2 linked regions of the Stegostoma tigrinum genome follow. The protein of the gene in region 2 purifies or fractionates together with the protein of the main gene of each other region. This does not show direct contact. Links are inferred from orthologs where the notes say so. Each region holds a gene or a part of one and is shown on either strand. Other genes may lie near its edges.

Evidence for each region.
Region 1: the proteins of sdhaf1 (region 2) and sdhb purify together in Homo sapiens (co-immunoprecipitation; 3 studies listed by BioGRID and IntAct, with this or other methods). This does not show direct contact. The link is inferred for Stegostoma tigrinum from reciprocal best matches to the Homo sapiens genes SDHAF1 and SDHB.

Annotation. Positions count from the first base shown.
Region 1 is NC_081381.1:32,415,412-32,422,720, reverse strand, and holds the start of sdhb (succinate dehydrogenase [ubiquinone] iron-sulfur subunit, mitochondrial), read left to right. Parts: upstream 1-4,295; 5' UTR 4,296-4,319; coding exon 4,320-4,412; intron 4,413-5,440; coding exon 5,441-5,586; intron 5,587-6,456; coding exon 6,457-6,542; intron 6,543-7,309. UniProt on the Homo sapiens protein: Iron-sulfur protein (IP) subunit of the succinate dehydrogenase complex (mitochondrial respiratory chain complex II), responsible for transferring electrons from succinate to ubiquinone (coenzyme Q).
Region 2 is NC_081392.1:9,598,510-9,606,005, reverse strand, and holds the start of sdhaf1 (succinate dehydrogenase assembly factor 1, mitochondrial), read right to left. Parts: upstream 3,012-7,496; 5' UTR 2,927-3,011; intron 1-2,926.

The DNA of each region.
Region 1 (7,309 bases), on a different chromosome or scaffold from region 2:
CTTGCTGGCAATCCAAATAGATCATATCCAAAGGCTGTCCTTTGTCTAACTGCTCCTTACTTCTCAAAGAATTCTAACAGATTTGTCAGGCATGACCTCCCCTTGTCAAAGTTGTACTGACTTAGCCCAATTTTACATGCATTTCCAAGTCAGGAATCTTATCATCAGCAATATCATCTTTTGTACTGGATTCTCAGATCTTCTCAGTGGCTGAGATCAGGCTAACTGCCAATGCTTTCCTGTTGTTTGCTTCCTTTCTTAAACATAGGAATTACATTAACCATTTTCCAGTACTTTGAGAGTCTCCCTGGCTGCAGTGATTCCTGAATGATCACCACAAATGCCACTGCAATCTCCTTCAGATCTCTGGGGTGTAGTCTATCTGGTCCAGATGATTTATCAACCTTGCAGCTTCCTCAGTATTTTCTCCTTGGTGGTGACTACTAAACTCACTTGGGTACTGACTCTTGAAGTTTTGGTATGCCACTGGTTTCTTCCCTGATCAAAACTGATGCAAAGTATCTGTTCACTTCCTCCACCATTTCTTTGTTCCCCATTACCACTTCTCTGGCCTCATTTGCCAGGTCTCCACTTTCCACTCTTGTCTCTTACAGTTTAGATTTCTAAAACAAATTCTTGTAATCTTACTCTCATATTTCATCTTCTCTTGCCTCCTTCCTGCCACCCCCATATTGCTTTTACAGTTGGCTCTGCTGGTTTTTAAAAGTCCCCCCAATCATGTTCATCTAATTGTGTACTTTTTGTTTTGCTTTTAATCTGTCCCTGATGTCTCTTGTCAGCCATAGTTGCCTTGTCCTCCCCTTAGTCCTTTTCTTCCTTGGGATGAATTTTTGCTATGTCTCCCAAATTACTACCAGAAACTCCTGCCCTTGCTGCTCTGCTGTCTACCCTACTCGACTGCCCTTCCAATCAACTCCAGCCAGCTCCTCCCTCATCTCTATAGTTATCTATACTCAATTGTAATACAATTATGTCTGATTCCAGCTTCTCCTCCTCAAACTGCAGGGTGAATTCTATCATATAATGGTCACTACCTCCCCAGGAGTTCCTTACCTTTAGCTCCTAAATCAAGTTTGCCTCATTACACATAACCAAATCCAGAATTGCCTGCTCCATAGTAGGCTGTACCACAAGTTGCTCCAAAAAAAATCTCATAGACGTTCCTGGAATTCCTTTTCTTGAGATCTGCCACCAATCTGATTTTTTTTTCCAGTCCACCTGCACACAAGTTCCCTGTGATTATTATAATACAGTTTTTCTTACATGTCTTTTCCATCTTCTGATTTATTTTCTTCCCCACATCCTGACTGCTAGCAGCCCTGTACGTGACTCCTTTCAGCTGGGGTGAGAGTGGGGCGTTCCTTTTGTATTTCCTCACTCTACTACCCAGATCTATGACGCTTCTTGCTATTGATTTTGATTTTATTTGTTACTAACAAGGCAACCTCGCCCCATCTGCCTGCCCTTTCGATAGTGCCATGTACCTTTGGATATTTAGTTCCCAGCCCTGACTACCTTGCATCCCTGTGATACCCACAACAATGTCCTGCCAATTTTGATTGCACTCTTGAGTTCATTTAGATTATTTTGTATGCTGTGTGCATTTAAGTTGGCACCCTCAGTCCTGAGTTGACTGCCTCCCTCTCATAGTTGTCCCCTCACCTGCTGTGCCCAAAATTAAGATTCCTGACTCTTTCCATACACCGTCCTGATGCACATTTTGGAAACTGTAATAACCTCTGCTGAGACCCCCTCCCGCCTTCCAACTTTTAACTCTTTCCATAATTTTCCATCCAACTGAACCCATCCCCCCCACTATTTAAAACCTTATTAATAGCCCTAACTATGCAATTTGCCAGCAGAGCCAACTCTAGTTGTTGCTGGAAAGTACTACATGCATGGTTTAGAGTGACAGTCTTCTCTTGTTGCCTTATCGTGGATCTGCTAAACGTTATCACAAATTTCATGACAAAATATAAGAATCTTGAATTCCTCTTTGAAAGTGGCAAGCTCATTGAATTATTGAGCTAGAATATGATTTTAAGCAGCTGGATATGCACAGCATGAATTGCCTAATTCTTCCCACCCCACCCTGTCCTGAAGAACAGTCACAGGATTCAAACTGTTAACACTCCTCTTTCTCTTCGCATAATGCTGTTGGACTTGCTGAGTTCCTCCAGTAATCTGTTATTGTACCACCAATTTAAAGCCCCCCGAAACTTTCCTCATCGGTCATTGAATGAGACGGCCACCATCAAATTTGTACCCACGTTTTCTGTTAACGGAATCGGACCCATTAGTCCAACTCATGCATGCTGACCAATTTACCCAAACTAAACTAGCCCCACTTGCCTGTATTTGACCATATCCCTCTTAACCTTCCCAATTTGTGCACCTGTCCAAATGTCTTTTAAATGGATGTGAGTTTGCTCGCTGGGCTGGAAGGTTCGTTTTCAGACGTTTCATCACCATTCTAGGTAACATCATCAGTGAGCCTCCAATGAAGCGCTGGTGTTATGTCCCGCTTTCTGTTTATCTGGTTAGGTTTCCTTGGGATAAATAGAATCTTCCTTGGGATTAACCAGATAAATAGAAAGCGGGACATAACACCAGCGCTTCGTCGGAGGCTCACTGATGATGTTACCTAGAATGGTGATGAAACGTCTGAAAACAAACCTTCCAGCTCAGCGAGCAAACTCACATCCAGAACCTCAACCTGAGCTGCGAATCTTCTCAAAACTCGCTGTCTTTTAAATGTTGTTACTCTACCTGCATCTTCCACTTCCTGTGGCAGTTTACTCCAGATGCAAACCACTGTCTGTGTGGAAAAAGTTGCCCCTCAGGTCCCTTTTAAATCTTCCTCCTCTCTCCTTGAAAATATGTTTCCTAGTTTCAAATTCCCTCACCCTACGAAAAAAAACTTTTGCTATTCACCTTGTCTATGCCCATCGTGATTTTATAAACTTCTATCATGTTACCCCTAATCTCTACGCTCCAGTGAAAAATGGCATAACATATTCAGTCTGTCCTTTATAACTCAAATCCTCCAGACCCAGCATCATCCTGGTAAATATTTTCTGCACCCTCTCCAATTTAATAATACCCTTCTTATAGCAGGGTGACCAGAACTGTACACAGTACTCAAGTGGCCTCACCAACATCTTGTACAAAACACATGACATCCCTGTACCCAGTGGTCTGAGCAAGGAAGGCAAGCATGCGAAACGCCGTCTTAACTACCTGTGATGCAACTCAGAATTATCTACCTGAACCCCTAGGTTTTTGTTCAACAACACTACCCAGGACCCTACCATTAACTGTATAAGTCCAGCCCTTCTTCGTTTTACCAAAATGCAAAACCTTGTATTTATGCAAATTAAAACCCACCTCCACTGCTCAACTCTTTTGGTGCAATGGATCAAAATCCCTTTTGTAATCTTAGAAAACCTTCTTCACTGTTGACTATCCCATCCAATTTTGGTGTTATCTGCAAACTTTCTAACTCTGCCTCAAATTCTCATCCCAAATCATTCATACTAATGACAGACAACAGTAAACCCAGCACTGAGTCCTGTGAAACACCGCTAGTCACAGGCCTCCAGTGCAAAAAAAAAAGCCCTCCTCCACCACCCCCTCTCTCCTAATATCAAGCAAATTTTCTATCTAGTTGTCAAGCTGTCCTTGAATCCCAAGTGTTCCAACTTTACTAATCGGTCTACTCTGCAAAACCTAGTTAGTAAAGTTCACATAGACAACATCCACTGCACTGTTGTGATCAATCTTTTTGGTTATGCCCACAAAAACCTTAATCAAATTTGTGAGACACAATTTCCCAAGCACAAAGCTACGCTGACTATCCCTAGTCAGTCCTTGCCTCTCCAAACACATGTAAATGCGATTTCTCAGGATCCCCTCCAACATTTACCGATGTCAGACTTACAGCTATGTAGTTCCCAGGCTTCTCATGTTTGTTGTCAATCACACAGCTGAAGGAGTTCTATATATCCAGCCCCTTATTGCAACATGAATGAAAGGTCTCCGGTAATGACTGCTCCTCTTGGGCATTGCCAGCTGCTGCCCCAAGCTTTAATGCCTCCCTTAGGACGTAGCTCTGGACTTTGGAATGAGCCAAATTGCAGAGGACAATTTTTTTGAATTGGAAGACCAATGCATTTCGGGCAGACTAAAGAGCTTCTTTCACCGAGTCAGTGATCCTCCAAGTGCTATTGATGTTCTTGGTGTACATTCCAGAGAACAGTCTGTGGAGCACTGGGTCTTTCATTGTGGAGCTGGTTAGGATGAACCTCAAAAGCAGCCAAATCTCCATCCGATCACACCTTCTACTGTGTACAGTTCTGATCATACCTAAGGAAGAATATACTTGCCTGAGAGTGAGTACACTGAAATTTCTTACATGAGGGAATTGTCCTAAGGAGTAATTAAGTAATAGACCTCTGTGGCCTAATGTTTAGAAGGGTGAGAGTTATATAAATGTAACACAAAAGGGACTTGATGGTGTATATGCTGGGAGGATAGTTCCCTTTGTGAGGTGGCCAGAACCAGGAGTGATAGTCTCAGAGTAAGGAATTAGCCATTTAGGATTGAGATAAAGGAGAAATTATCCACTCTTGGCATTATTATTCTTTTTAACTCTCTACTGCAGATGTCCAATCACTGAGGTATTCAAGACAGTTTGATCCATTTTTTTGGTATTCTGGGACTTGGATGGATGGTGCTGGAAGGTGGAGCAGAGATAGATCGGCCATGATCTTACTGAAGCTGGCACAGAGACCCAGCAGCCTACTGCTATTTATATTTCATAAATTTCTCAAACCAAAAACAATGCTTTACTGACAATGCCTGTGTCTCTGTCCTTGACTGGCTCCTTGGGCTGAGCGGGAAACGTAAAGCCTTGCAGATTACTTGACTTTTATGATCTTGGGGCTATCTAGTTATTGTAACCTATTGGTTAAACCATTCCTTTGAGTGAATGCTACCCATATAATTGTGTTTAAAAAGCAACTTCAATAAAATTCATTTAAAATGATTTTCTGAAGAAGGGTCCTAACCCAAACATCAGCTTTCCTGCTCCTCTGATGCTGCCTGGCCTGCTATGTTGCTCCAGCTTTGGCAGTTCTTACTATCTCTCAATAAAATTCGTTATTCTTTTATAAAAATGTAGCTAGTCTGATACACAAATGATCACAAAATCTCCCCATCTAATTAATTAGAGTATTTTTTGTAGTCCTTGTTCCTGTGATATTAGCGACTTGTCATATCTCTGTTACCCATCTAGACGAATCTTTTTGGATACATTTTTTCCATTGTGAACTTTGACTTGGTGTACAAGGGAAATTTGATTGTGTATCGTTTGGAATACGATTCATGGATTGATCATTGGCTTTCTGTTCCCTTGCAGTCATCTCGCAGCTCACAGGCAGCGGCAGCTACTGCTCCTGCAGCACAAGCAGTGTCTCGCCTTAAAAAGTTTGCGATTTACAGGTGGAATCCAGATAAGCCTGGTGACAAGCCTCGAATGCAAACCTATGAGATTGATCTAAATGCGTAAGTGTTCCAAGGGGAAATGCTACAGGGTATGCATTTGATCGCACTGGTCAGACTTTTACTGATTTAAATTTTACTGCAGTATGCCCTCTTTATTATAGTACTACTTCGGATAGAAGGATTTTGATTGATTGTTTTCAAGCAGAGGTAAAATGGTGAAGTGCAGTGATGAAATTGGAAAAGACCTGCTGACCTGTCAGGCCCACACCTCGGTAGTCCATAAGCACACTCTCCCAAGTGTAGTTAAACTTGGGAGTAAGATGAATGACCAGAGCAAAAACTACTAAGATCTCGAAACACTCTGGCTCCCCCGTGCCATTGGCAACACTTTGAGAAATGGGTCTAATATTACAGTCTATGTTCATTTCCTGATTATTTGTAATCTGGGAACTTTCCCCTCTTCCAGCAACAAAGGAGTAGCTGTCTTCCTTATAGTCCTTCTGTTTTACTTCTGTATTCACCTAAAAGTCTCATTACAGCAAAGATTGAACAGATGTTTTCTGGAAATGTATTCAGTGTGTGAAACTTTCTCAGTCCTACACCTGTCTATCTCTGGCATCTTCTACTTACTTCACCAAACAACTCTTGTGTTTCTGGCCTTTTACGATGTAAACTTTCAAATTTCCCTCCTGCAACATTGTTGACAATCCAACTCTTGCTCCTTTATTTAAGATGGACTTAAAACTTGGCTGTTTGAAGAATTGATCAGAATCCTAATATCTTCTTTGATTCAGACTTTGTGTTAGTCTGTTTAAGCTGCTGTGAAGTGCTTTGGGACTTGTAACTATACTAAAGATAATATACAAATACAATCTGCATTTGAGAGAATTGAAACTGATATTTCAAACTGTTGTGACACTACATATGTAGATGTGGTCCGATGGTACTAGACGCTCTTATCAAGATCAAGAATGAAGTGGACTCCACACTGACATTCCGAAGATCTTGCAGGGAAGGTGAGTGGTATTGTATATGAGTGATATAGTGACAGTGACAGATCAATGTCTGCATTTCTGATGAATCATTACAGTCTCGCATCTGTGAACATTAGTCAGGCATTAAGTGAGGTAAGAGTGTATATATCCAGATGTTTGTCCCATTTTTAAACTAGCCATCACTATAATTATGTGCCTAGATGTGGAGAGTGACAGAAAACCTTTTTATCACTGACCAGTAAATCTCAGACATTTGCAATGCCACTGTGGTGTCACCAGCTGTTTCAATGTTCCTTTGAAGGTTGTAGTTTCTTCTTGAAAGTATCCAAGCATGAATTGGTATTTATGACTGGCTTTTACTGTCACTGCCTATGCCTGCATCCACAAGGCTCAAATGTCCAATGAGTCTGCAACCAAGAATTTATTTTGTCGTTTCTTCATTGTTAGCCAGTGCTGTGGGATCACAACTGCTGGCTCTGTGACAGACGGACATGACCATCTTTGGAGTTTGTATGTCACTGAGAATCTATGACAATCATTTTATAAAGCAAAATTTTGAAAAATTGTAATCTATTATGTGCAAGGATTATGACACAGTCAAAATCAGACCTAGCTTATTGTCAAGCGAATTTAATGATGTCCATGTAATTTAAAAAAATGAAGGGTCACAGATCAGAGAAACTAAGGCAGCAACATTTTGGGAAAGGATGGTAATACTTTTCAAATGCTTGGAAGTGGGAAATGCTAGGATTGTGGAGGATCTTCTAAATTTGGCAACAGCATTAAAT
Region 2 (7,496 bases):
TAAAATCATGGTTGATTTGATCGTGACCTCAACACTATTCCTGCCACTCCCTGACACCCTTAGACTCTCACATTAGACAAGAATCTACCAACTTCTGCCTGAAAAACGTTCCATGACCCTACCCTCTCCACTCTCTGCGGAAGAGGATTCGTCAGATTCATGAGTCACCAAAAAATTTTTCCTCATTTTAGTTTAAATGGCAGGCTCCTTATTTTTAAAATCATGCTTCCACTTCTAATCTCTCATACGAGCAATACATGCTTTCAGCATCTAACGTGTGAAGGCTTCTCAGATTTTTGTGTATTTTAATTTTTAAATATCTCCGTACAGGGTATAAACTTCACTGCGAAGGAAAGCCAGAAGTGAGGTAATCCAGCTCAACAGACACCAGAGTTTAAATTACAGGTGGGAAAACAACAGCACTTTAACAGAAGCTGCACTAATGATGTTACCCAGCAGGCTAAAGAAACTTATGCAGGACAACGAACCAGCTTGGCGAGCCAACCAACCACAACCTGAGCTACAAATCTACTCTAAAACCTTTTTAAAAACATATTTCCTTGTGGGTTTTGGGCATTGCCGGTGGGCCAGCATTCACTGCCCATCCCTAGTTGGCCTTGAGAAGGTGGTGATGAGCTGCAGTCCACCTGCTGTAGGTTGACCCACAATGCCATTAGGAAGGGAATTCTAGGATTTTGATCCACAATGCCATTAGGGGCAGAATTCCAGGATTCTGACCCAGCAATACTGAAGGAATTTTGATCTATTTCCAAGTCAGGATGGTTAGTGGCTTCGAGGGGAACCTGCAGTTGGTGGTGTTCCCATGTATCTGCTGCCCTTGTTGTTCTAGACTGAAGTGATTGTGGATTTGTAAGGTACTGCCTAAGGATCTTTGGTGAATTTCTGGATTGAGGGAAGATGGTGGTACAGTGGCAATGTCATTAGACTAGTAATCTAGATGTTTCTGAAGAAGGTTCACTTGATTTTGTTTCCTCTCCACAATTCCTACCAGACCTCCAGCAATTTTTGTTTTAGTACGCTCACAATCCAGAGGCCCAGACTAATGCTTAGTGTATATAGATTCAAATCCCACCACAGCAGTGATTGAATTTAATTTCCATTAATAAATCTGGAGTTAAAAGCTGGCCTAAGGAATGATGACTGGGTAAACCATACCTCCACAAGACCCCAAAAAAAAATCAGCACTCCATCTCCCTGAGCCCCTGACCCCAAACCTACGAAACTCCTGCTTCCCAGACCCGAGCCCCTTCCCCACTCCATATTCTTTTGCCCCTACCTGGGCCTGACTACACTTTCCTTCTCAACTGTGCACTGCTGAACCCAATATTCCACCCACTCACCCTGATCTAAACAATCCACTCATCTGGAATTGAAGACAGAGAGATAAATTCTTCATCAGTTGGGGAATTCAGGGTTACAGGGAAAGGGCAGGAAATGGACATCAGGAATGTCCGATCAACTGTGGTTTTATTGAATGGTGAAGTAGGCTCTGGGCAAATGGCTCACTCCTGTTCCCATTTCTTATGATCTTAACCTACCCTCATGGCACACTAACTTCACACTAAGCTCACATAGCAGTCGGCAAGGTGAGTACCTGTGATGCAGGACCTTTTTTTTAAAAAAAACTTGAGAATACTACTCTGGGAAAGGGAGCGTGGTTTGCCTACCCACACAACCCTCCCTCCCCCAGACTGTCCACCCCACAGCCCCTCCTCCACTGTCCTACACTCACAGCTCCTCCTCCACTGTCCATCCCACACTATCCTACCACCACACCCACTGTCCACCACAGTCCCTCCTCCACTGTCCACCCCCACACCCACTATCCACCCCCGCGCCGTCCCACCCCCACACCCACTGTCCACCCCCCGCGCCGTCCTCACCCCACACCCACTGTCCACCCCACAGTCCTCACCCCACCCCACCCCCACTCCATCCTACCCCCACACCCACTGCCCACCCCCACTCCATCCTACCCCCACACCCACTGCCCACCCCCACCCCACCGTCCTCACCCCACACCCACCCCACACCGTCCTCAGCCCACACCCACTGCCCACCCCACACCGTCCTCACCCCACTCCCACTGCCCACCCACACTGTCCTCACCCCACTCCGTCCTAACCCCACTCCCTGCCCACCCCCACTCCGTCCTACCCCCACACCCACTGCCCACCCCACACTGTCCTCACCCCACTCCCACTGTCCACCCACACTGTCCTCACCCCACTCCCACTGCCCACCCCACACCCACTGCCCACCCCACACTGTCCTCACCCCACACCCACTGTCCACCACACACTGTCCTCACCCCACACCCACTGTCCACCACACACTGTCCTCACCCCACACCTGCTGTCCACCCCACTCCCACTGCCTACCCCCCACTGTCCTCACCCCACTCCCACTGTCCACCCCACACTGTCCTCACCCCACTCCCACTGTCCACCCCACACTGTCCTCTCCCCACACCCCCTCCTCCAGTGTCCTACCCCCACAGTCACTGACCATTCCACCCTCCATACTTCCCAAACCATTGTCAGGCCAACTCTAACAGGCCCCTGTCAGAATGCAAGTGTGGCTCCCGAATTTCTGAAACGGCCCGTTCGGAGTCTCTCATCGGGAAAAGTGCAGCTCTCTGGTTTTTCTGTTTAAAAAGGAGCCGGACTGAAACTGCTTCCAGAGTGACTAAATATTTCCAGCGTTTTCTGTTGGAGTTCAGTTTTTCCAGCCTCCCGCTGGATTTTGCTTTCCCTTGGCCTCCCTCATGTATCTGGAGCACCGGTAGCCTTTCGTTCCTCAGAAAGGGAGCACCAGTGTCCGATTAGTCTCTTACGTAACCCATAAAGCTCCATCCCCTCTTTACATCCACAAAAATAACTCCAATATCCCACCTAACACTCACCTGGAAACGCCGGCTCATGCCAACCTAGCGCCACCCGTCGCCACTGCTTGACCCTGGGTCCTCCCAGCACAGCGCCACAAGGCACTGGTCCTCCTAGAGCCACGCCACCCGACTGTGGTCCTCCCACTGCAGCGCCGCCCATCTCCACTGCCTGAGTTCGGTCCTCCCAGCGCAGCGCCAACCCTCGCCTCAGCCCGACCGCTCGCCACGTAGCGCCGTTGCGCTGCTTTGTAACCGTGTGAGTTACCTGTAACAACCCATTCTGTACTGCTGCTCTCCATGAGGAGCAAATTTCGTACGAAAATTTAGTTTTAAAAATAGAATCGGAACTCGGAATTGGAGGTTCCTCATGGAATTCGTAATGTCTGGCATTGGCAAAAACTCGACCAGGAATGTCGTATGGGTGGGATACATACATCAGTGTTAGAGTGTAAGGAGGCTGGACTTAATCACATTTTCAAAATTAAATTGAAAAGGATTGGGAAAGTGGGTCTATGATGAATGACCTAGTAGATAACCAATATCAGGCATCAAAATGAGCTGTGGAGAATCACCGGATTAAAGTATTTTAGGACAGTATATCACAGGTCCCAAACATCACTCTTGTCTTTAGTATTGCAAAGACTATGGACTGGTTTGGAGCAACTTCCCCATCTATCTGAACACCCCATTCTGTACACGAAACACACTATGAGGTGGAGGCTTTTTGGCAGTGACACTGAGTGGGCAGTAGTTTCCCCAGTGACATGACCAGTAGCTATCATGTCCCCAGAAATGTTTAGCAGGGCACGTTAATACACTTTCATGTACCACGATAACCAATTTACCAAGAGGCTAGATGATGGGGAAAGACAGTGTTTTGTCTTGTATACATGCTGTCAGTGCCCAAAATCATATGTGTTAGAACAGTAACATATGCTGTCCGTCCACAACAAACTGCTAACAAACTTACAAACCTTAGTAAATTTTGTGATTTTAAAGCCTGGAGATGAATCTTAGTCATTCACAATTTGACCCATCCCACCGTAGAATTCACAGAACGTATCACTAAACTCTACACATTTGCCATGACATTTTATTTCCATTGCAGCCAATTATCAGCTGCATACTTATGGACGTCTAGTATTTCAACAATAGACTTGCTTTGGGTGCTGATGAAGTGTCATCTAGACTCCAAACATTAGCTTGCTTTCTCCATGGATGCTGCCTGACCTGCTGTGAACTCCAGCTTTTTGTGTTTCTGGTACACATTCCAGCATCTGCAGTAATTTTGCTCCTACTTCTAATGAAGTTCTCACCTTCCCTATGCTTCTAACACTAGTCCCAAAAGGAACATAAAATTAGTTGTAATATAGTATCAGAGATAATGGGAACTGCAGATGCTGGAGCATCTGCAATTACAAAATGTGGAAGTGGATGAAATGCAGAGCTGAAATAAATAGGGAGAAGCAGATTGAAGATGGAAAGAGAAGATAGGCGGAAAGGAGACAGACAAGTTTTGGTGGGGGGGGGGGGTGCGTGGGGGTGGGAAAGAAAGATGGAGCCTGGGATGGGGGTGAGGGACGAGGTATGGGGGCAAGTGTACCAAAGACGACTTTCCATATTAAGCAGAGGTTCACCTGCACATCAGTCAATGTGGTATACTGTATCCATTGTACCCGGTGTGGCTTCCTCTACATTGGGGAAACCAAGCAGAGGCTTTGGGACCGCTTTGCAGAACACCTCTGCTCGGTTCGCAATAAACAACTGCACCTCCCAGTCCCGAACCATTTCAACTCCCCCTCCCATTCCTTAGATGATATGTCCATCCTAGGCCTTCTGCAGTGCCACAATGATGCCACCCACAGATTGCAGGAATAGCAACTCATTCTGCTTGGGAACCCTGCAGCCCAATGGTATCAATGTGGATTTCACAAGTTTCAAAATCTCCCCCTCAGCCCCACTGCATCCCAAAACCAGTCCAGCTCATCCCCACCTCCCTAACCTGTTCTTCCTCTCACCTATCCCCATCCCCTACCTACTAACCTCATCCCACCCTTTGACCTGTCCCCTCCCTACCTCCTTAACTTGTCTGTCTCCTCTCCACCTATCCATCTTCGATCTGCCTCCCGCCTCTCCCTATTTATTTCAGAACCATCTCACCCTCTCCCTTTTCTGAAGAAGGATCTAGGCCCAAAACATCAGCTTTTGTGCTCCTAACATAAACAACTGCTTTGTCTAAAGTTAGCACAACCCTTCATTTTTATACTCTATACTTCTTTTTAAAACAAAGCAGAGAGTTCATTTCTTCTTCCGACTTCATCAGGTTGTCTTCTACTTGATATGTATAAATACATAGAAAACATTTAATTCTCTTAAATCTTTATTACTCTGGCTCTTCCAATGTTTTGCCATTTAGCCTATTCAAGGATGGAAAGAAATAGAATCAACATTTTTAGGTCCATGGCCTGCTGAAAATTCAATGGGAAACTCTTGTTTCTTTCTCAAGATGTGCTGCTCAAGTTGCGTCATGGCATCAGACAGTGCACAAACCTCCAAACTACTCACCTGAGACCCTCCAAGCATAACCTGTCCCTCCTACAGTAGTCTTCAGACTGTGCCTTGCACTTAATCTCAGGACCACTGAATGAAAGTGGAAGTAAATCAACTTTGATACTGAGGAATTGCCTAACATTAAAGACATGACATGAGGTGGTATTTACACCTCAACCTTTCATTATGCTATCAAACCACCTGTTGACAGGATATTCCAAACCTGTCGTCAGGTGAGGCAAGTGTGGCAGCCCTTGACATCAAGGCTGCATTAAAAAGGAGCCTGAGCAAAACTGGAAACAATAGTTATTAGGGGGCAAACTCTGCTGGTTGGAGTCATGCCTGGCACACAAAAATGGGTCAGTTATCTCAGCTCCAGGACGTCTCTGCAGGATTTGTGGGGTTTACTACACAAAAATCATTAGAAGCTACTCTTTTTTTAAAAAAGTCAAAAGTCAATCAACATCTAATGGAATGTTATCCCAAAACACCTAAGGTAAGGAAAGGAACAGAAAGATGAGAAAGTTATGCTTCAATTGTTACACAGTCTTGCTCAGGAGTTCATCATTGGGCATACCAAGTTCAGCTGAGAAAAAGGTTTATACAGAATTTTAAACAGATACAGCAAAATGAAGGAATTTATGGGGGTTAAATTATGAGGACTTATTGCATAAATTTGGTTTGTATTCCTGGAGATCAGAAAGTTGAGAGATGACTAAGGCAGACATATTTGAAATAGATTAGGAAATAAGATAGATAGCAAGAAATGGAAAAAAAGGGAGTGCAATCTTACAATGAAAGCAAGGCTAGAAATGAAGTCAGGAAAGACTCTTTCTACCTAAGGGAAAAAAAACAAAAAAGTTGCTGGAAAAGGTCAGCTGTTCATCCAGCCCCACACTTTGTTATCAAGGTCAGCAGGTCTGGCAGCATCAGTGAGGTTGGGGAAAAAAAAGTTAATGTTTCTGGTCCGATGACACTTCCTCAGAGCTGGTCACCCGACCCAAAATGTTAACTTTTTTTTTTCCCCTTCGCAGATGCTGCCAGACCTGCTGAGCTTTTCCAGCAACTTTGTTTCTGTTCCTGATTTACAGCATCTGCAGTTCTTTCAGTCTTTCTACTTAAGGACTGCTGGAAAACTAAACCTCAATTCCTCTCCCACTGTCTAAAGCCTATGAATGCTCTAACTAATTTTCAAAATAGGCTGATTAATATATATAAACAGTAACAAAAAAAAGTAAATGGAACAGAGGCCTAGGTTAGGCATATTCTAATCGAATGGATGAGATTTGAGGGGCTGAATTACATCTTCCCATTCATTTTCCCTTCATTCCTCCCAGTATTGTATTCACTGTCAACCTCACTATCCCCCCTTCCCTGTGACACCTGTCAGCCTTGACCACTATACTCTTCCCAACACAGAACCTTCATCACACTGTTATGTTCCATCCCCAGTGCAAAAGATGTCTTTGCCTGCCTGCTCCTTTGAAGTCACTGCTGACCACTGCCTTGCTCCCCCAGCAGAGTTTGGCTCGTGTGCACTTCAGTTAATCCAGTATGTTCCTCTCAGCAACAACCTGTAACACACACCATGTGACAGAAAGAATGCTGGAACATCTATCATGACTGCGGATCCAGACTACAATATGCATACAAATGTTCAAGTGGCTATGGCAACATGGATTCTGAATGAACTGATGGTTTTTACTCTCAAGTCTCCATGCGCTCTACCTTTATTCTGACCATTTACTACTTTGGTCAGTGATTCTTTGCACATTAATCTGTCAAGTAGGAACACCACAGTCACCTTCCCAACCACTGTTAATTAGAATTAGGTTTTATCATTAATAAAATATTGTTAATAAAAACAACTATTTAGAGGAAGGCTCTCATACATGTTTTGCTGTCAAAAGTCAGTTATAAAATGCATAACAATGGCTAACTCAAGAAGTGATCAGAATACAATGCGTAGCTTCCACGAGGTAAGGATGCTTTATTTCACCACTATCTTTTACATCTTATCACAAAACACACATTGGTG